Oryzias latipes: one gene and its partner. The protein of the gene in region 2 interacts with the protein of the main gene of each other region in a pairwise test. Links are inferred from orthologs where the notes say so. Each region holds a gene or a part of one and is shown on either strand. Other genes may lie near its edges.

Region 1 (10,861 bases), on a different chromosome or scaffold from region 2:
GCGCGCGTGACCAGGTGTGGGCCGCGGTGTTCAGGTACGACTCTCCGTCACGATAAAGGCGATAGCCGACTAGCTTGTTTATTAATAACCAGCCCGCTGGCTAACAGTTAGCTGCGCTCGTGGAGAATGTTTGTCGTCGGGATTGGAAAAGTTCTCACGTGAGCGACAGGTGAGAGGGAAAAAAAACACACAGGAGTGGTCACGGAGGGCAGATATCGATGCTCGGGACGGGGAGTCAAAGCTGACCATGGGGATCGAACCTTAGTAGGCTAACACGTTTGTGGGACGCTGAACGAGCAAAAGATGTGAGCGGCGAACCTACAGCTGAGCTCCAGCGTCCAGAGCAGCGAGGATCTGCGGGACCTCCCCAGGTCACGGCCCTCACCTGGACCTCCCCAGGTCACCGCCCTCACCTGGTTGCTCCACACTCTACACCTGTGACTGGACCGGAAGGAGGCAAAGTCCTGATTGACCCTGAATCAGGACTGAAAAACGGTTTGACCATCAAAATCCTGCGTTTCTACGCACTAATTGAAAAAAAACAAACTGCTTTCCATGTTTCTCAAAGTTCTGCAGAACCGGCTGATCTTTAAAACATTTATATAGACTTGTGTAGTGAGGAATCGAACCCGGTCAGGGCCACGCGGGGCTGAACGGATCTTCCTCCTGAATGATTCCGTCTTTTCTTGAAGCTGACATGAACGGGTCCTCAGAGAAGGTCAGCCTCTGATCCTCAGCTGCACGCTGTGCAGGAACCAGCAGACGTCTCATCAGCAGAACCTAGACAGAAGGTCATGATGATGCTGTTGACAGAGAAGAGGGCTAAGAACAGAACCTAGAGGAACCCGGTACGAATAGGACCAGATCTGCCCCCCTGCCCCATGATAGACCCAGTCTGAGGAAAATGAAGCTCCAAGCTGTTTGAGTATTTTTTTATTCAAAGAGTAAATCAGGAGCTGATAAAAAAGCAGTTTGAAGAAGCTTGTAGGTGTGTGACCAACAAGGGCGGGCCGTAAGCTTCCTGCTCCGCCCCTTTCTGATCAGACAGACAGATCCAGAACGTCTTTGTTCTCCTGCTCGAGCTGGAATCTGGATCTAAGCTGGACGGCTGCATAGATGCCATGTTGCTGCCATTTCTGTAGCACCGCTAATGTTAGCATGGGGGTGTGAGGGGCTGTAAGCTAGTGAGACACAGGATAAACAAAGGGATGCTGGGAAATGAGGGCAGGCTTACTCCAGTGGAGAGAGGTGAGCATTATCGCTCGTGTCTTGTCATCAGCAGTCAGCGGTAGAGGAGCAGGAGGGCGGGAACGCGTCCTGGGGTCTTCGCCGGCGCTCGCAGTCAGCTCTGAGACGTCTCTGATCTCCAGGTGAAGCCGTGTTTTCCTCTCTGCGGTTCTCAGAGCGGTCCTTCCATCCCAGCTCAGTCAGGACCTGCGGGTCCACAGGTTGTCTGAGCAGGTAGAGAGTCCGGAGTTCTGTTGGGCTGACGTTCACAGCCGGAACACGGAACCGACTGGATTCATTTCCTTAAAGCGTGTCATTGTTTAACCTGAAAGGAGGAGGAGCTAATGTTTAGAATTATTATCACTCATGAACACAAATAGGAAACAGATTTTATCAATCTGTCCAGTTCTGTTGGTTCAGATCAATTCTATTGTTGTTGAATTTAGCCCCGCCCCTTTTCTGCAGAAGAGAACATGGTTGTCTTCAGGACATCTACCCCCCCAAACGCAGTGACTTTTCTGCGTCGTTTAGTCCCCGACACACAGAGATTTCTTCAGATTCTCTGAATCTCTTTTGGTCTCTTCTGCAGGATGATTCTCCGCCTCTCCGGCCGCATGTCAGAGGATGAAGACGGGACGCTCCTCGTGAATCATCATCATCATCATCGTTTCCCCGTCCTGCTCCAGGACCAGAGGATGTAGCAGACAGCTGCAGGTCTCCGCCCCCTTCAACCGCGTCCTGTGGGGGTCCGCCCCTCGTCTTGGTTTTAGACCGGGGGTGCCGTGCGACTTTAGGCGTTCTGTGTTTGCCGCCGTTCGTTGCCACGCCCCCTTTATTTGTGATTGAAGTGCAGCTCAGCTGGCCGGCCTAGAGATGAACGGTTCTCTTTTGACCCCCCCCAGCCCGAGGGCTACAAACTCCTCCCCTTTACCGCCCTCGCCTTCCCCGTCTCCGTCCCCCCCGTCGCCGTCTTTGCTGCCGCTATCCCCCCGCCCCCCCCCTCTCCCACCTCTCGTGAGCCCTCCATCCCAGACTCACCCCTCCTCCCTTTCGGACACCCCCACACCGTCCCCGTCCCCCTCCCTCAGCTGGACCGAGTTCTGTGAGCTCCATGCGCGAGTTGCGGCGGGGGACTTTGCTCGCCATTTCCGGGCGTTCCTCCTGGAGAACCCCCACTACAGCACCGACTCGGCCGCCGCCTTCTGCCGCCGCTTCACCGACCGCTTTGTGCGCCACTTCCAGAGCGAGCTGGAGGGGGGGCCGCCGCCCAGCCGCAACGACATGGTGAGCTGGGCCCCCCCGTCGGACGCCACCTCGCTGGAAGAGGAGGAGGTTTCGCCTTTATCTGCAGCGGCGGGGGCCACCCCGCCCCAGGCCTCATCCCGACCCGAACCGGCACGGCTGGTTCTGGAGAACCGCGGCGGGGACAAGTTCCAGGACTCCCACGGACAGGCCCTCCCCCCATCGTCGTCCTCGTCGTGCTGCTCCTCGGTGGGGGGCAACAACGGGCGACGGGAGGAGAGGGGCGTCACGTTCAGCCCCGGGAACGGGGAGGGGCCCGACGAGGACAGCTGGCCCGGTGTGGCCTCCATCGGGGAGGAGCCTCAGGAGTCCGGGGAGGCCGACCCCTTTCCTCAGGACCCCTCCCCCTCCGCGGTTTCGTGTAAAGAGACCCCCATCTCCTCCAAAAACAAACTGAAGAAGCGCTTCTCCCTGCGCAGCGTGGGCCGCAGCGTGCGCGGGAGCGTGCGCGGCATCCTGCACTGGAGGAGCTCCTCCAGCGACTCGGGTCAGAACCAGCTCTCCCCCAGCTACAGCTACACCATGGGGGTGCAGGACGCCGGCCTGGGTCCCACCACCAAAAGGACCTCCGCCACGCAGCCCCCCACCCCCACCTCCTCCATGCCGGTGTCCCTCTCCATGCCTCTCTCTCTTCCTCACTCCTCCTCATCCTCACTGCCCCCATCCTCCTCCAGCAGCGCCACCTCGCTGTCTCTGTCGGACGCCGCCCGGGACCGCCGGCGGAGCAACGGTGAGGGGGGGGAGAAGGACAAGTGGAGCCATCGTCTGGAGAAACTGCGGCTGTCCCGGTCCCCCCCTCCCGTCCTCCTGCCACCCCCCGCCGGCTCCAACCCCTCCTCCATGCTGCCCCCCAGCAGCGCCGCCGCTGCGGGTCCTCAGAGGAAGGTGGGCCGGCTGATGCGGGAAGGCGGAGTCAGTGTCAGCTCCTCCAGCGAGGAGCTGGGAGGAAGCCACGCCTTCTCCGGCTTCTCCTTTGGCCTCCTGCACCACGGCACGGACAGCAACAGCGTGGCAACGTCGCCGACCGCCGCTAGCCAAGGAAGTCAGGCGCCGCTCCTCGCCAGCGGGGGGAACGTGCCCTGGAGCGGGGGGCGCTGGCATAAATGTCGCCTCGTCCTCAGAGCGAGGGACAGGGAGGGGGGAGAGCGGGGAGAGGAGTACTACCTGGAGTTCTTCATCCCTCCTAAAGTAAGTTCTCGTCAGAGCGAACGGAACTCGATGGCTTCTGCTCTGACTCCGCCCACGTCTGACTCCCCAGGCCTCAAAGCCCCGGCTGACCGTCCACTGCTGCTCCATCACGGAGGTGAGGAGCACCACGGCGCTGGAGGTCCCGGACAAGGAGAACACTTTCCTGCTGCAGGTGAGTCGGATTCCGCTCAGGTCCAAGCGGGTCGATGCCGGCGCGGCGTCTGTCGGTGACGGACGCATCGACCACAAACCAGCAGATCAAAAGTTTCATCTTTATTTCCCAAAAAAGATCCAACCTGAACGTTGGTCTTTGATGTGAAAACGTTTGTGTTTCTGCTCGCCGTCGTCTTTTTCCAGCTGGAGGGCTCAACGCAGTACGTGATCGAAACCCGAGACGCCATTCAGATGAGGGCGTGGCTTAGTGACATCAGGAACGCCATCTGCATCAGGTACTCATGTTTTCTGCAGATCCGCTCTTCTTCCAGAACCGTCGGTTCTGAAGTCTTTCCCTGCTTCCTGTCCGCCACAGTGAACAGGAAGACGCAGAGGGGGGCTGCCGGGGGCCGCTGGACATCAGCGGGACGCCGGAGGCTGGCGAGCGTCTCTCACAAAGTGAGTTTGGCGGTAAAGGGTGTTGCATGTTTCCTCTGCAGCACGTTCACCGCCTCCTCCCTCCCCAGTCTGTTACGGGGGCATCGGGGGCTTCCTGCCGCTCATGGACCCCCTCCCGCCAGAGCTGCCGCCTCGAGCCCCTCTGGACGAACCGGATGGCAGGATTCTCGGGGGAGGCGGGGCTAGCCTGGGCACGCCTTTTGCAGAGACGCCAGACGCCACAGGTGAGTGTGATGCCCCGCCCCCTGTGAAACGTGACCCAGGAGGGTCCTGAAGGAAGAACCAGATGGTTATGGAGGGACGTTTGTGCCAATAGTTCACACATTTACAAGTGTGAAGCGGAGCAGCGGATTGGAGGTTTTCTGACCAATCAGCATCCATGTCTGTGATTGGCCGGTTTTTGTGGCTCTAAATAGTTCTATTTGCTCCTTTAATTGTCTTTTGGTTGTTGCTCTTGAAATACTGGCACTAAAATTAGAAAGAAAACTCCAGGAATGTAAGAATCTATGAAGCTAAAACCTTTTCTGTAACAGCTGCTGTTTTCTATTTTTTCATTTCTTAATTTACAGTTTCTATTCAGAACTTTGTGTTTTTGTAGTTGAGCTTTAGTGGGGGCGGAGCTTTGAGTCCATTGGCTGATTGACATCAGAGGTCATTTCCGCTCCAGAAAGGCGTCTGTTGTTGGCGTCAGCAGTGATATTTTCTCAGTTTGGTACGTCAATCACGTCCCGCTGGCCGATGGACTTAAAGCCCCGCCCCCACTTAGGATCAACCCTGAAAACGTCAAATGTGCATTGAAGCTGTTAATTATGCTTCTGATGCAATCGAGGCTGGTCTCAAACGTTTCTATGGCAACCACTCTGGCCAATCAGGCGTGAGCTTGTTGGAAAGCCCTCCAGCAAGGGGTGTGGCCTTTGCTGGAGGGCCTGTCAGTAAAAGTTTTTAATGTTGTGGGGGCCAGCAGGCTCCACCTACTTTTTTCGAGGAATCTGATTGGTCCGTTTAAAGCCAGTTCTGATTGTAGAAGCAGCAGCTGATGGCGGCGTCTCTTCCTCTGTGACCTCCAGGGTCGTTCCTCTTCTCTGATGTGGCGCCCGCAGAGGCGGTGGAGCACCCGCTCAGCGAGTGTCAGTGGTTCCACGGGACGCTGTCGCGCCTCAAAGCCGCCCAGCTGGTGCTGGCAGGAGGCCCGGCGAGCCACGGCGTCTTCCTGGTCCGCCAGAGCGAGACGCGGCGCGGGGAGTACGTCCTGACCTTTAACTTCCAGGGCAAGGCCAAGGTGAGTGCAGGTGTAGACAGGAAGAATCACAGCGGCCAGATTCAATCAGCAAACCTTTATTTAAAACAGTTCTAGTGAATCCTTTTGCCATCATCAACTCCTGAACCTCGAAAGTTTACATCCAGTCTGGACATTCTTTGAATGACCGTGAATCTGTCAACGTGACTCCAACGGATTCTGACGCAGATAGAAGCCGCTTTTCTCTGAATCCTGTTAGATTTTAGATTTGCTGGCGGCAGCACAGATACTACAGCCTTAAAACGACGCTCCATGTCCTCCGCCAGTCCTGAAGGAGCTCCATGGGTGTTCCTGCGGTGGGCGGGTGGAGCTGGTCAAGCCCCGCCTTCGACCCTCGGTGGTCGAGGTTGGCCCCGCCTTCGACCCTCGGTGGTCGAGGTTGGCCCCGCCTTCGACCCTCGGTGGTCGAGGTTGGCCCCGCCTTCCCTGCAAACACGGATACATTTTCCTTGTACTTTTATGAAAACCGCGCATGCATCAGAGATAATTTCTGTAGGATAATTAAGCAGAGCGTTCGACCTCTGATCTGCAGGTTTGATTCCTGCTCAGCCTGATGATTGTAGCACAAATGTTTCCAACATGAATCAGAGATGTGCCTTCAGCTGAACAGCAGTCCTGCAGGAACGTCTCCTCTCCAGCTGGGCCTGCGGTTCTGCAGAAGCTCTGTTCTCACCTGCGGTTCTCCCGCCTCCTGCAGCACCTCCGCCTGTCCCTGAACGAGGACGGGCAGTGCCGCGTGCAGCACCTCTGGTTCCAGTCCATCTTCGACATGCTGGAGCACTTCCGGGTGCATCCCATCCCGCTGGAGTCGGGGGGGGCCTCTGACGTCACCCTCATCAGCTTCGTCGGTGCTACCGCCATGCGCCAGCCAGGTATGTGTGACGGCGCCGTAGGGCCCACAGAAACTCTTTGAAGGTCTGGACCCGTGCTGCCCGGGCCGGTCCAGGAACCAGGTGGTGTCGGCGGTCGACCGTGTTCAAGCGTGTGGCGTCCCGGAGGAAACTCTGTACCAGTTTCCTTATGAGACCAGTTCACTGCGGTGCGTGTAAACACCAATGTTGGAATCTTCATTCATGTCCGTTTACACACGCTTTAGTGACCACACAGTCACGTGACCCTCTGACGGCGCCGGAAGCGGGCCTGTCCTGATCCTTTGTGAGGAGAAATCATTAGGAACACCTTCAGCCCGACCCCTCCCTGCTCCTAAACAGGAAGTGCCGTTGTTTCCTGATACGGGTGGCGCCGTGTTGAAATCAGTCACTCGACTAGTTGCAACTGGGCGGCGCCCGTATCAGGAAGCAACGGCGAGGGGGGCTGGGGTGTCGTCACCTCTATTCCTGTTCCTGGTGAGCTGGCAAGGGTCAAAGGACTGTTGGCCCAAAACTGTGTTTCAGGCAGACCCACAGTGGCGAGTCGGACCGGACCCGCCGCCTGTGGGTTGTGTTGACTGCTGTGCATCGGTTCTGCTGTCACTGGAAGCATCGAGGCGGATCAGAACCTTTGCAGCGTGTTTGGGATTGATGTGTAGCATTTGCATGCAGCCCATAATGTCCTCATCATCATCATCACACTCCTCATTTTCCTGATTGTGTTCCGACCGGCATGGACACGGCGGCTGCAGAACCGGCGCCGTTTCCGTGCTGCCGCGGCCGTTCTGACCTCTCCTTGTTGTATCATTGGCTCGTCCTTACAGGCCGGGACAGGGCGGGCAGCCGGCCTACAGTCTGTGATGTCATCACCACGCGCCATCCCGACTCTCCATCAACCCCCATCTCTGACTGTGTGTAAGTGAGACCGGACGCGTGTGTGGCTGACTGAACATTCTGGGTCACATGACTCCTCAGAGCCAATCAGATTGAATGTTACTGGTTGACTTCTGGAGTAGTAGATCATAGACTGGAACCGGGTCAGATCTAGTTGGTCCAGATCTACATCTCTAATCAAGGGGGCGGAGCCATCTCTGAGGACATCAGCTGTTTCCTGTCGGTCCTTGCTCCACGTCTGTGCGTAGAATCTCTAGTAGATGCGGCTCCCCCTCGTCTCCTGGTAGTGGGCGGAGCTTCAGTCCTCCTCTCTGTGAAATCTGGACTCCTCTGGTGAGGAGGAGGACTCTGTCTCCGCCTCCTGGTCGTTACTCCTCGCTTCTCTCTCGCTTTATCTACATGTGCCTCCTGCACACACATGGAGTTCACAGCATCTCCTCCCTTTGGTTCTGGATCAGACCAGAACCAGAACCTCAGAGTTCTGCTGTAAGTGATCTGGGAGAAAAGCGCTTTGAGGAGGCGTCTGACTCCATGCTCCTGTCCTCCTTCTCTTTTCTCCCTCTCACGCCTCCTTTCTCTCTCCTGGCAGACTTGACCAGCAGACCCCGTAGCCCCCCCCAGCCTCCTACGCTACCGCCGGGCCGGCCGCCGCCACCGACTCCGCCCCAGGAGAGAGGAGAACTAGAGCTGGCAGGAGGAGCAGTGCCTGCAGGGACAGTAGCAGCCACAGGAGGAGGAAGTGGAGGCAGCGGAGGAGGAAGTGGGGGAGGATCAGACGAGTGGGAGGAGAGAGAAAGAGACACGCCCCTCCGCCAACTAGAAGCTGTGGAGGGGGAGGAGAGGGACGGCGCGCGGGCTCCTAGAGCCATTGATAACCAGTACTCCTTCTTCTGATGCTGGGATGGAGGAGGAGCACGTTTGTTTGTGTGCATGCGACTGAGCGAGCGTGGATGAGGCGTCGTACATCATAGCCATTTGTAACCAGTATTTTTATTTAGCTCGGTGCAGGAGGAGGAGGAGGAGGAGGAGGAGGAGGAGGAGGAGGAGGAGGAGGAGGAGGAGGAGGAGGAGGAGGAGGAGGAGGAGGAGGAGGAGGAGGAGGAGGAGGAGGAGGAGGAGGAGGAGGAGGAGGAGGAGGAGGAGGAGGAGGAGGAGGAGGAGGAGGAGGAGGAGGAGGAGGAGGAGGAGGAGGAGGAGGAGGAGGAGTAAAGTACTAACACTATGAGGGAAGGAGGAGCAGACAGGAGCAGCTTCACCACTTTAACTATCCGTACATTTCTTTAATCTTTTAGCCAGATAAGCTTGTTTTTGCCGGTGCGCCTCAAAGCCGGCTCCCCCTGAGGGGCTGGCGGACCCCCATACCTCACAGCAACCACGGTCTGCAGACATTTCTGCCACGGGGGTAGACCCCCCCCCCCCGGCGCAGCACGGACTCACCTGTCTGCCGCCTGCGGCTGCAGCTCCAGACCATCCAGAACGCCAAACTGAAGGGAGCACAACCGCGCTCCCTGAGGTCCCCCATCCTGCAGACCACCTGATCGGGACCCCCCCCACCCCCCTGATCCAGGTGGAGCAGGCGGGTTTCCTGCAGAGTGTTTGAGACGGGTCCAGTGACCTTTGACCTCTAAAGACAGGCTAGAACCAAGATGTTTGAAGCCCGACGGCGGTTGAGCCAGAGAAGATCCGGGACGATGGTCCCGTTGTGGAACCCAACGCTGATGGAACCTGCTGTAGACGGTTGGCGATCTGGGCGTGGCGCTGCATTCTCCTCTGGATGGTTCCGGTGGTCCGGATGGAGGTTCTGGTTCTGCTCTCATACCATCGTTCAGTTCTCATGCTTCTGTGCCTTTTCTTTTCGTTTTGTTTGGGGGGGAACCCCCCCCCCCCCCCAGTCTGTTTCCAGGTGACCTTTGTATTTGTGCCTTTCTCTGTCTGTCGTGCTGCCCCCCCCCCCTGTCCTGTTTAACTCTTCGTGCCTTTCGCTCTCTTCTCTCTTGCTGGGACCGTGTGGGGGGGGCACAGCTGTCTGCCCCCCCGTGTGTTAGTTTCAGGTACTACATTGAATTTAATGATATAATATAAATATAGTGAAACATGGAAGCTGCTGTGCTGCCTCCTTTGTTCTGCACGAGCCTGGAGGCGGAGCCTGGAGGATCCAGACTCTGAAGAGTCCTTCGCCAACTAAATGTAAACATTTGATTTAGTCTGTAACCCTTGTGCTATCTTAGATGACCCCCCCTCCCATTGACGTGTTCTCCCTACCATGACAAAGGTGGAAAGATTTCATGTAATCCATGGACACCAGTGAAGATCCTTGAAGAAAAAAGGTTCAGAGCTCTGTCTAGTGGGTCTAGATGACCCACCAGTGCCTAGGATAGCACAAGGGGTAAACATGTTTAACATGCCTCCCACTGAACTGTTTTTTTTTTCATTTCCACATGTATAAAACATACTAAAGGTTCTGTTTGCAAACATGTTTATTTCTGCCACAGAGGAAAGTTTGTGTTTTGGTTCTGAGTTTTCAGTCTTAAAGAAAAACAACCAGGTTCCCAAAAACTTGACCTTTAACCTTTAACAAAAAACCACTACAAACACACAAACGTAGCTTTTAATGTCCTTTATTATTCAAACATTTGTCAGACGTCTACATCGATGGAGGAACTATTGTCCAATAAGATCATACAGGTGAAGAAGTGGGCGGAGTCTCTAATTGCTGACCACCTGTTCGCTCTTTAAAGGAGGAGAGACCTCACCGTTGCCATGGTAACATGAACGGGGAGAATTGTGCTCACATGCATACATTGCTATAATAAATTATACACACACTAAACACAACGTTGACCTTTCACCTTCAGGTGGGGGTTTTCATGGCACAGACGAGTAACATCAAGAAAGTCCTCCCCGTGGATTTATGGCTCATTGCCCACCGTGGGAATTGAACTCAGACTCTCCTGTGGGACAGAAAAGGGATGTTATTCCACCAGGAGAACATCTAAAGCACCAAAGTTTAGTGATCAATTCCTACTTATGTTCTCTGGACTTCCAGCCGCTGCTCTTAGGAGCAGCAGGGATAGGCTCCAGCCACCCCGTGACCCCGAAAGGGACAAACGTGGTTTGGAAGAAGAATGAATGAAGGTTCAAGATGGATCTTTGAAGAACACTTCAGGTTTTCAGTTGGTTCAGACGACTGCTCTGTAATTCTTAATGTACTTATGTAATCATAATAATAAACCCCCCGGTGTTCTTTAGGCATCATGCGTGTCGTTCTGCTGCAGCAGTGCAGACCCACGGTTGCAGAACCCTTTAGATCCGCCTTCATGCTTCCACTAGATCTAGAAAAAAGGGTTGAACAAAATAATAAACATGGATGTCAAGAGAGCTTCAAGAGCAGCAAAAAGGAAATTCACATCAACCGGTATTTAGTCAAACCTGGAGTCTGTGCGGTTCCTCACTCTTCCTCAACGACCTGGAA
Region 2 (9,685 bases):
ATTTCGGTGAGATTCATGCAGTTTAATGAAAGCCGGCGGGTTTGAGTCCTTCTAAATCTGGTCTGCAGCCGAATTATTTATTTTTTAAACTTGCCTCTCATTTAAAGTCTAGAAAAAAGCTCCACCACATTTGAAACCTGTCCTGGTTTTTAACCCATAAAATAAACTGTGTCTGAGCTTTTGTTTCCTCTTTTTTTGAGGCAATTTAAAAAAAAAGTCTTTGTTTTTTAGCAAACCTTCCCTCCTTTCAGTGTCTGTTTAACATTTGTAGGTTTTTGATCTTTGACACCATTTATTCTTCAACTTTTATTCACCTTCTTCAGACGATTTGGCCTTTTCTCTGTAGCTGTTTCTGCATTCGTCTGTTTTTTTATTTTATTTAAATGAGCTTGCAGTATTTATTTGTACAAACAGCTTTGCTAAACTGAATTCATTTCCCCTTATTTTGATTTATATGAATTTATTCCATTTTCTTCAGCATATTTACTCTATTTTTTAAAAGCTTTTAAAGTTTCCATGTGATCGTTGTTCAGCATCATAGAGCCTCTTTTGTTGAAATGAAGTTTTTATTTAAAATGTTTAGCTTTATTTTGAAAATTTCAGCTTTTTTCTGTAATTTAGAATATACTAAAACAGTTTTCAACATATTTATCTGTCGTACATTTTCTTTGGCCAGTTTAATATTTGTCTTTAAATGTTGTTTTTAGCCTTTCATCTAAATGTTAAACTCCATTTTAGCTTTCTTCCAGCTGCAAAGGCTCATTTTGTTTGAGAAAAAAAGCATTACTATTTAAAATGTCCTCTTTTATTTGATTTAACACCAACACTTCTTGCTCATTTGTACTTTTTTAGATTCTTTTTCATATTTTTAGATTAGCATATTTAGCATTTAAGTCTAAATATAAGACATTTTTCACTTCTTCTCAGTGAAATAGTACAGAAAATGCTTTTCTTTCTTTAGCTGAAGGAACCAAAAAACAATCATCTGCAAAAGATTAGAAACAGATTTCTCTCAAACTTTTGTTCCAAAAGCTACAAACCTTGAAATAATAATCATAATTCATACATTGCCTTTAAAACGCCCCTATCAAGTCCATTAGACTCTTTAGAATGAGTTTTTAAAAAAAGGGAGGGGTGAAAGAGAAAAGGACGAGTTAAAAACGTCATTTTTTCTGTCAAATTCTATCTTCTTTTCTGTTTTCCCTGCAGATCTTTGAACAATCGACACCCAAGAATCAAAATTGTCTTTTTTATTTAACAGACATTTCTATTTTGTTTTGGAACCTTAACGGCAAAAGAAGAAACTCAGATGATCAAAATGAAAGTAATTTTCACAAAACCTTCATCTAATATCTAATGCCAGCTCAGTGGCCCTGTGGTTAGTGTCCACCCTGTGACTGGAAGGTTGTGGGTTCAAACCCAACCGAGTCAGACCAAAGACCCAAAGCCTCCCTGCTTGACATTCAGCATTAACGGGTTGGATTGGGGGGTTAAATCCACCGAAAATGTTCCAGAGAGCAGCTGTGTCTGCAGCTCCCCGCTCCCCCAGGGGGTCAAAGATAGTGTGATTTAATTTAATAATCTAAATTTTAAAAAAAAATTGACGTAATCTTTATTTATAATAATAGCGGAAATTGCTGATGCCTTCTGGGAAATGGAGTTTTCTGGTATGTCCTGTTGCTTGACTTGTTGTGTGGCGATGGCTCTTTCAGGCCACAGTCACCAGCTCTTCCACGTCAGCGCCGTGGTGGGAACTCACTTCCAGATGGAGGGTGTCCTCGCCGACATGTCGTCGCGGCGCCAGTGGCTGCAGACCCACGGCTTGGCGCCGTCCTTCCTTAGCACCTTCGGCGCCCTCGTCCTCAGCTTTGTCCTTAACCTGGGCATCATCGCCGTGTTCAGCGCGCTCCTGCTGTGGAAGCCCCGCCCCAGCTGCGGCCAGCAGCACGCCCCCACCTGCGGGTGCAAGGAGCAGTGAGGGCGGGGCTTCCCACAAAGCAGCTTCCTTACATTCCAAAGGAGGTCCCGGCCGGCGGTGTTCCCGCTCCACAGACTGACGTTTCCCTGTGTTTGTGTCCGGTCAGAAGCCGATGACCCGTCTGCGGGTCGAAGGACGCTGCTGCCGGGTTTGCAGAAACTCCGTCTCTCCTCACCCTTTATAATCTAATGCAGATTGGATCTACGGCGCTCCAGCCCGGCGTTGATTGTCAGACGCTTCCATTTCTGATTGCCTCCTTGTCATGATCTGCCCTCGGAGACGTCCAGCGAGGCGGTGATTAAAGGACAGGCACCACTTTTTGAACACAGCGTTCCCCGTTCTTCTGAGCTCACACGGAAATCTGCCAAAAGCTAAAAAAAAAAAAAAAAAAAAACCTGGCGTGGCGTTTCTGTCCAAAACTGTGATTGACTTTTGATAGAAGGCTGAATAACTTCAGACCTTTCTGTGGTGCTTCGGGTCTCTAACCAACATTAACAACTCATTTCTACGTTTACATTTCACAATAAAAGAAGTCAGACATTTTATATTTATTGCTGCTTCTAAATAACTCAGTGAAAATCTCACAAACTCATCCTAAAAGCTATTTTTGATCATAATTAAAATCTTTAAAAAAAAAGGGGGGAAAGCAAAATATTTACTTTAAAACTTTAAATTCAAGTCAAAGTGTTTGGGGAAAAACTTGGGAATTTTAATTTAAATGTAGATCATTTAAATTCAGATGAACCTTCACTTGTGTTTGGTGAAAGCTCAATATCAAAGTGGCTCCATTGGATGCCGTTGTCACTTTTTCAGGCCAGTGACAGAAAAACGTCGGTGTTTGAGGTTCGTACCAAACACAAACTGTTCCAAACGGCACAAAACGGTCTCAGTAACCAGCTGCTAACACACACTAACTAGCTCTCCACAGCCGGTCAGGACGGAGGTTTGCTCGGAGGGAAAAGCAGGTGGTCTGGTGGGAATGGAGCTTTGGAAAGTGTAGAATCCCAGGGGAACTTTCCTTTAGCAGCATTTGCCTTCACTTGCTCCAGAGTCTCTTGGTTTCTGAGCAGAATTTTCACCAAAATATCCAAACAAAAAGAATCCTGACACTGAATCGTGGAAAGACCTGTGGTAATCTGTGGATTTGACGGCGTTTGGAGATGTGTCCGAGGGAAGGCGGGAGGTTGGAAAAACATGTTGTGCCTTTTTTATGGTGTTTTTTTTTACAACTTGTCTCTGATTTAATGTTAAAAGAAACTCTACAAACATATATCTGATCTTTGTGTAAATTGTAATTTGCTTTAAAAGGCTTGTGTAATTAAACTGAAGCTTTTATCAATGCAGTTACATGGTGAATCTTTTCAGAGGTGTTTTTATCCTGCAGAGTTTAATTTTAAAAATGACTTTAACGGAAAAGATGAATTTTAAACTGTTGCTTGAATTTGCTTTGTATTTTTTTAAAATCACATTTTAATCAGCTGCAGAATGGGGTGCAGTGCACGAGGGTGGCCAGCAGAGGGCAGCACAGGGAGAATTGTGTCAGAAACTCCTCAGATGAGCTTCAGCTCGTCAACAAATGAGCTGCAGCTCATCTGAACAGGAGAATAAGGCCAAATGAATCACCGTCTAATATTTTCCTGGGCAAAAGTCCTCCCTGATTCACACAAATCCCTGCATTCGTTCACGTTTCTGGAGTCTGCCTGATGCTGAAGTTTGTTTTTTTAAAACCCCCTTTTTTTCTGCTCTGACTCATTAGGTTTTTTTCTTTCACCTCTAAAGCCTCTCAGGCAGAGCAGAGTGGTTTATTATTAGCAGCAGGCTCAGACCACAATGAATCGGCTCTGGCATTTTCATAAAAGAAATAATTATCGGGAGAAATCAATATCCCGTGTGCGTACATTATAAGATGAGGTGGAGGACTGAAAAGGAAAGTTTCCCGCTGCAAAGCTCTAATAGGACCTTCATTTTTAAAAAATGGCCTCATTTCCAGCTCTTATTGTCCTCGCATTTCAAACCCAGCCGGGGTTGGGCCTCGAGTGCTTTTTAAGAAGCTCCATTCTGAAACCACAAAGGCTGCGGGGACAAACACTGATCCGATCCGTCCTCAATCTGCTTGTAAGACGCCACAAGACAGTCCTCCAACACCCCCCCCCCCCCTCTCTCCCTCCCTCCTGCATCCTTCAGTCCAGAGGAGGTGCATAAGGAGAAGAGGGAGCATAGATCACACTGGAAAAACTGCACAGTGATGCATCGATTCCATTTTTAAACCTGTTTTGTTTATTCCTTTAAGGGCAAACGATTTACAAAGAGATACAGGTTTTAGAAGCCCCCCCCCCGTCTGTACATCCACTATTTACATGGGTGGCAACCCCCCCCCCCCCCCCCCCACACACACACAACTTCCCCAGGCGTACAGTTACAGAGACATCTGCCCCTCTCCTTCTGAATCCATCTGTTCCCCTAAACCGCACATCCCATAATTCCCTCAGGTTTTCTTCCTGAAAACAAATTTTTTCCTCTTTTTTTTTTTCTTTTTTCTTTAAAAATAACCATAGCCCCCCTCCCGTCCCCCCCCCCCCCCCCCCCCCCTGGCACAGAAACCAACAGACACTCAGGTGAACATGTGAACTGCCCCTCAGCCCAGGATGTCCAGGTAAACTGGGGGGGTTCTGACCAGAGCCAGCAGGCGGCTGTGGATCTCCTTGATGACCGTCCTCTGCTGGGGCTCCCTCTGCCAGCAGCCCTGCATCAGCTGGTACACCTCCTTAGGACAGGTGCGCGGCCTCTCCAGCTCCCGCCCCTGCGTGATGCATTCAATGGCCTGTCGGAGAGGAGGAATCCGATTACTTCAGGATGGAGAGAACCCACCTTTCTCTGGAAGGGACGGTTCAGACTCTCTCAAAAGAGAGAACGAAAGCGGCTACGATGTGTCTGCGAAGGTGAGGAAATCTGATTACATCTCCCCCAGTCTGTAATTGCATCACTTTAGTGAATGTCAACACACCAAGAGTCTGAGCGTGCAGCAGTTTAGTGATGTAAGTAGAAGAAGTCGACGAATCCAGAACAGTTTTGTAAAAACGGTCACTAACAACTCAGTTACCCTGCTTAAAGATCCGCTTTGTTGATCAAACATCCCAGTGTTTACTTTTGTTTTATTATAAGGATGCTGCTGTTAGCTAAATTGAGCAAGACCTGAGTCGTGTTCTAGGACATAGTTTCTGCAGGAGTTCATGAGAAATTCACCTCTGAGTTGTGGGCGGGGCCGTTGGCGTGGAGTAACCCTGACCTAACATTAGATTGCAGCAAAACAAAGACGTTCATGGATCTGTTTGTCTACGATGCATCAGAACGGGGCGGAGCAGGAGGCTCGTGGTCCGGCCAGCATCATTTCTGCGATCATTTTCCAAATGCATGGTTTCGTCTTCTCTGTGCAGAAAAAGGCTCTGTGCCTTTTATGATAAAAAAAATAAATAATCCAGGACTAAAATGATGCGCTTCTGTTCTATGTTCCAATTATGAGATTAATTTCAGCATCACACTGGAAACGGCAGAAAAGAAATGTTTCAGCGTATCTGTCTGGTTACTGAAAGAAAAGCTCACAGTGGTCAAAGAAATAGCTTGAAACAAACAAAAGTAATAATAAATACAAATTCTTTATATTTGTTTAGTTTTTCTTTAGTTAGTTGAAGGGGGGCCAATAATTTACTGTCCACGTGTCTTAAGATTTCTATCAGAAGTCTCACTAAATACTCATTTGTTAAAAAACAACAAATGTCTCTATTTTCTGCTTTTTTTCCATGTCAGTGACATTTTATCTTGATTCTGTGAATCCACCGTTTTACTCCAGTGTCTAAAAACTTCAGAATTTGTCTGATTCTGCTTTAGATTCTAATCTAAACTTTAGTAACTGATGTACTGCTTTCTTCTATTCTGGTAAAATGACTTCGAAGTAGATCTTTTTTTTCCGACAGATCTGAAGTAGATCTGTCGGAAGTGGAGCAGACTCTTTAGAGGAGGCCGCGACCTCTGACCTCTGCCTCCTTCAGCTGCCGTTTGGATGTGAAGATCACTGACGTTCAGCTTTCAGTCCAGAAGAAAATCCATCTACCTTTTGTCTCGTGATCAATCAACACGATCAGCAGATCAGATTGAGTCATTTTAGAGAGTAAATCTGTGATTCTAGCATAACACAGACGACTGGTGAAGCATTGTGGGTAGTGGGGCTGTTTTCGTGTCCATTTCTGGATTTTTTTCTTTAACTTTTTTATTCTAAGAGATCAGAATCTGCAGAGACCAGCAGGATTAACCATATAATCACATTTTCATTTGTTTTTAGATGACTGTTCTTTATTTAAATGTGAAATGTTTGTGCATCTAACAAAACAAATTACTCAGTTTATAGCAAGTAGATGTATAAGGGAATTGATAGCTAGAATGAAATTATTTTAGGTTTACCAAAAAACAAAAGTCTGATTGTTTTTTAATCGTTTTGTCTTCCTATCACGTCTCTCGCCTGAGCCTGAAGTTTTTCTGAAGAAGCCGAGAATATTTAAAATTAAATTGAACTCTTTATGTTGTAAATCCTACAATTTATGGAAGCGATTCTGTGGCATAATTAAAAAATAAAAGTCAAAACCAGAAATGCTTTTTCATTTTCAACATGAAGCTGCATTTTTTGAATCAAAATTCAAATGAAAAAGCAATCCACCAAAATGCTTTTTCATTTCCTTCCTCAACACCTCTTATTCTGTCACTTAATTAAAAAGATAAAGAAAATGGTATTTGACATTTCATTTTCAAAAAGTTCTCTGGTAAATGTGTAGCAAAATTCATTTAGAAATGTCTAATTGACAATTAAAATGGATTAACAGAAATGCTTTTTCATTTTCAAAATGTAACTGCATCAAATGGCTCAAAATTAAAATGAAAAATCAACGCTTCAAAATGCTTTTTGAAAATGAAATGTCAAATACCATTTTCTTTATCTTTTTCATTTAGTGACTTCAAGAAGTCCCAGAAGAAGTGGAACATTTTCGTTAAATTTACTGAAGTTCAGTAACAGAAACTTTGATTAGATGGAGGGACAGACTCACGGCAGAAAACTGTGATGCTTTTTTTCTTCAAAATATTTAAGGAAAGCCTAAAGTTTCCTAAAAAAAACACACAGATGAGATGCTGGAAGCACAAAAACTGATCTAAAATGAATGAAAACCCATTTTTCTTGAAATGAAAAACAGAACTTCTGCACTTTTCAAGCTGTTTTCTGATGTTTCGGAGCTCAGTGGGACGTCAAGGATTCGAACAGTTTCCTCTTTTCGCGTTGGTGTTCGTTGACCTGCTGGGGAGACTCCGATCAAAGGATTTGCTTCACACGAGCCGTCTCGCTTATTTATGATAATTTATCTGCTTCACAGAGTATTTAGGCAGCACGATCGTTTCACCTGCCCCGCATTGGGTTAGACAGATTAGGGTAACAAGGTTACACCTCATTGGCTCGAAGCTAAAAAGAAGCTAAGCAGCTTAGCATCGAGCGCAGCAGGAAAGTGATCCACCCTCCGCTGAAAGGCAGAGAGGCCGGCGGCCTGGAAGAGCTCTGCTGCGGTCACAGTGGAGACCCTCTTCTTGGTGCTTAAGCTGGAAAGGCCAGACTGGCCTGCCCTTATTTACTATCAGCGTATTGATTACTGACAGAGTGCGGAAGATCTACGACCTCACAGAGAGGATGTGCGAGCGTGGAGGTGGTTCAGGCTGGAGCAAAAACAAAAAAACAACATGTTTAATGTTTTTTGCTCATCATGAAACTTTAAAAAAAAAATATTTTCTCAACTTTGAATTTGCCCCGAATTCTTTTTCTGAAATTCTGTGAAAAGTTGTTTTTTTCGTTCCAACCTCACTTATTTTCTTGCAAGTGAACCCTGGTGTGGATCAGTGTTGGTGTGTGAACAAGAAAACCAAACATTGAATTTTGTGTGAATCAGGAAGAGACTAGCTGTTGTATTACCTGATTTGTACAACGCTGTGACAACTTCCCATCTTTAGCAAACCTTTTTTTTTTTTTTGGTCCATGGCAAAGGTGGATAGAGGTGGAGAGGATTTCATGGAGTCCATGGACACCAGTGAAAATCAAAAATCACTTAAGAAAAAAGGTTCAGCGCTCTGTCTTGGGGGGGTCCAGATGACCCCACTCCCAATGTTAAAACAAGATGGCACAAGTGTGAAAGGTTCAAAGAGAAAAAGCTGCTTCAGCTTTTGTTACCCAGAAACTGAGACTTTAGAAGGATTTTTCTGCTGAAACTGTGTGAGGAGTTCCCATGGTGATGCACTGCTTTGAAACAAAAGTCTACTCCTTCACCAGGCGTGTGATGCATGATACCCATTTTCTTTACGTTGCAGGTAAGCCAAAGGAATGTGATGGTAATCTGCTCAATAATCTCACCAAATCTACTAAATGAACCACTTTAGTTTTGAAACAAAGGCTTTTTCTTGTAAATATATTCATTGATTTTTTTTTTATTTTTTTTTTTATGGTGGCTCTAATACTCGGTCGTAAACCTTACTCCAGCTGCTGCCGGACCAGGAACAGATGTGCGGAGGGTTTTTGTTAACCCAATTTATAAGAGAGAAAAATAATGTGGAATTTGGATGAAAATATTTGTCTATTTTTTTTATGTAGGATTTATTTGGAAATATTTCAAATAAGCAAAAACAAACAATTCAAAACCACAATTACAAAAAAACAAGAAAGACATAAACAAATAAAATAATTATACAAACAATATACTGTGCTACCAATCTATGACCAGCAAAGGCATTAAACACGTCAGACCTGTTAATTTATTTGAGAGTTCACGGGTCATTTCTAAGGTCAAGGCCATGACATGTTCTAAGAAAGTTGACCAAATTTCAGAAAATTTAGATCCAGAGCCCCTATATATGTTGATTCTGATTAACAATGTGATGTATACATTTTAAAACAGAGTTTTTATTTAAAAACTGTTTCTTTTGTTCTCATTTTAGAACCAATTGTCTCGATGGGTTCGTGTCCCTCATGGACAAACCCACATTTTGAGAAATGCTGCATTTAGGTGGTGTTGAAATGATTGGGAAAAAAATTGTACAGCTCCGAAAACACACATGAATGTTAAATAGCTTTCTGTAGTTCAGCAAAGGTCAACTTATTTGTAATGTACCACCTGTGAGGAGCCACTATCATCAATATAATTTATTCCAGCTTGGTGGGCCAGATTAAATAGTTTAATGGGCCCCCGGGTCGTAGTTTGCCCACCCCTGAGCTAGCGCCCCATGGTGGCAACAAACCGACGAAGCTCTAAAAAGTGCAGCGCCCTCTGCTGGTCGAGTCTGCTTTGAGATGAACTTAAAGGTTCAATATAAAGGTTTGTTTCGATTGGCAGTAAAAGCGCAGCACCAAACTCACCTCACTGTTGGACAGCTGATACCAGGGCTGCTTTCCGTAGGTGAAGATCTCCCAGAGAACCACGCCAAAGCTCCAGATGTCGCTCTCCGTGGTGAACTTCCTGTACATGATGCTCTCCGGGGGCATCCAGCGGATCGGCAGCATGGTACGCCCGCCCACCTGGGGAGATGCACATGAATTACTGTGTTAGAAATCATTTCCTGTATGTATTGAACTGTGGTTGTAAACGTAGCAGATTGGCTCTACTTTTGGGGTGTTGCTTTGAACTCACC

The links. The genes of interacting proteins can lie anywhere in the genome.
Region 1: the proteins of ntrk1 (region 2) and sh2b1 interact in a two-hybrid assay, tested with the Homo sapiens proteins (2 studies listed by BioGRID). The link is inferred for Oryzias latipes from reciprocal best matches to the Homo sapiens genes NTRK1 and SH2B1.

The regions. Positions count from the first base shown.
Region 1 is NC_019866.2:698,310-709,170, reverse strand, and holds the end of sh2b1 (SH2B adapter protein 1), read left to right. Parts: 5' UTR 1-34; intron 35-1,141; exon of another isoform or gene 1,142-1,370; intron 1,371-1,816; 5' UTR 1,817-2,100; coding exon 2,101-3,717; intron 3,718-3,787; coding exon 3,788-3,889; intron 3,890-4,074; coding exon 4,075-4,166; intron 4,167-4,246; coding exon 4,247-4,329; intron 4,330-4,397; coding exon 4,398-4,553; intron 4,554-5,396; coding exon 5,397-5,608; intron 5,609-6,323; coding exon 6,324-6,498; intron 6,499-7,319; coding exon of another isoform or gene 7,320-7,410; intron 7,411-7,978; coding exon 7,979-8,283; 3' UTR 8,284-8,397; intron 8,398-8,580; 3' UTR 8,581-9,489; downstream 9,490-10,861. UniProt on the Homo sapiens protein: Adapter protein for several members of the tyrosine kinase receptor family.
Region 2 is NC_019874.2:29,035,963-29,045,647, forward strand, and holds the end of ntrk1 (high affinity nerve growth factor receptor), read right to left. Parts: coding exon 9,685-9,685; intron 9,573-9,684; coding exon 9,414-9,572; intron 4,800-9,413; coding exon 4,614-4,799; 3' UTR 4,520-4,613; downstream 1-4,519. Other genes in the region: membrane progestin receptor delta, read left to right, coding at 1-6, 1,713-1,978. UniProt on the Homo sapiens protein: Receptor tyrosine kinase involved in the development and the maturation of the central and peripheral nervous systems through regulation of proliferation, differentiation and survival of sympathetic and nervous neurons.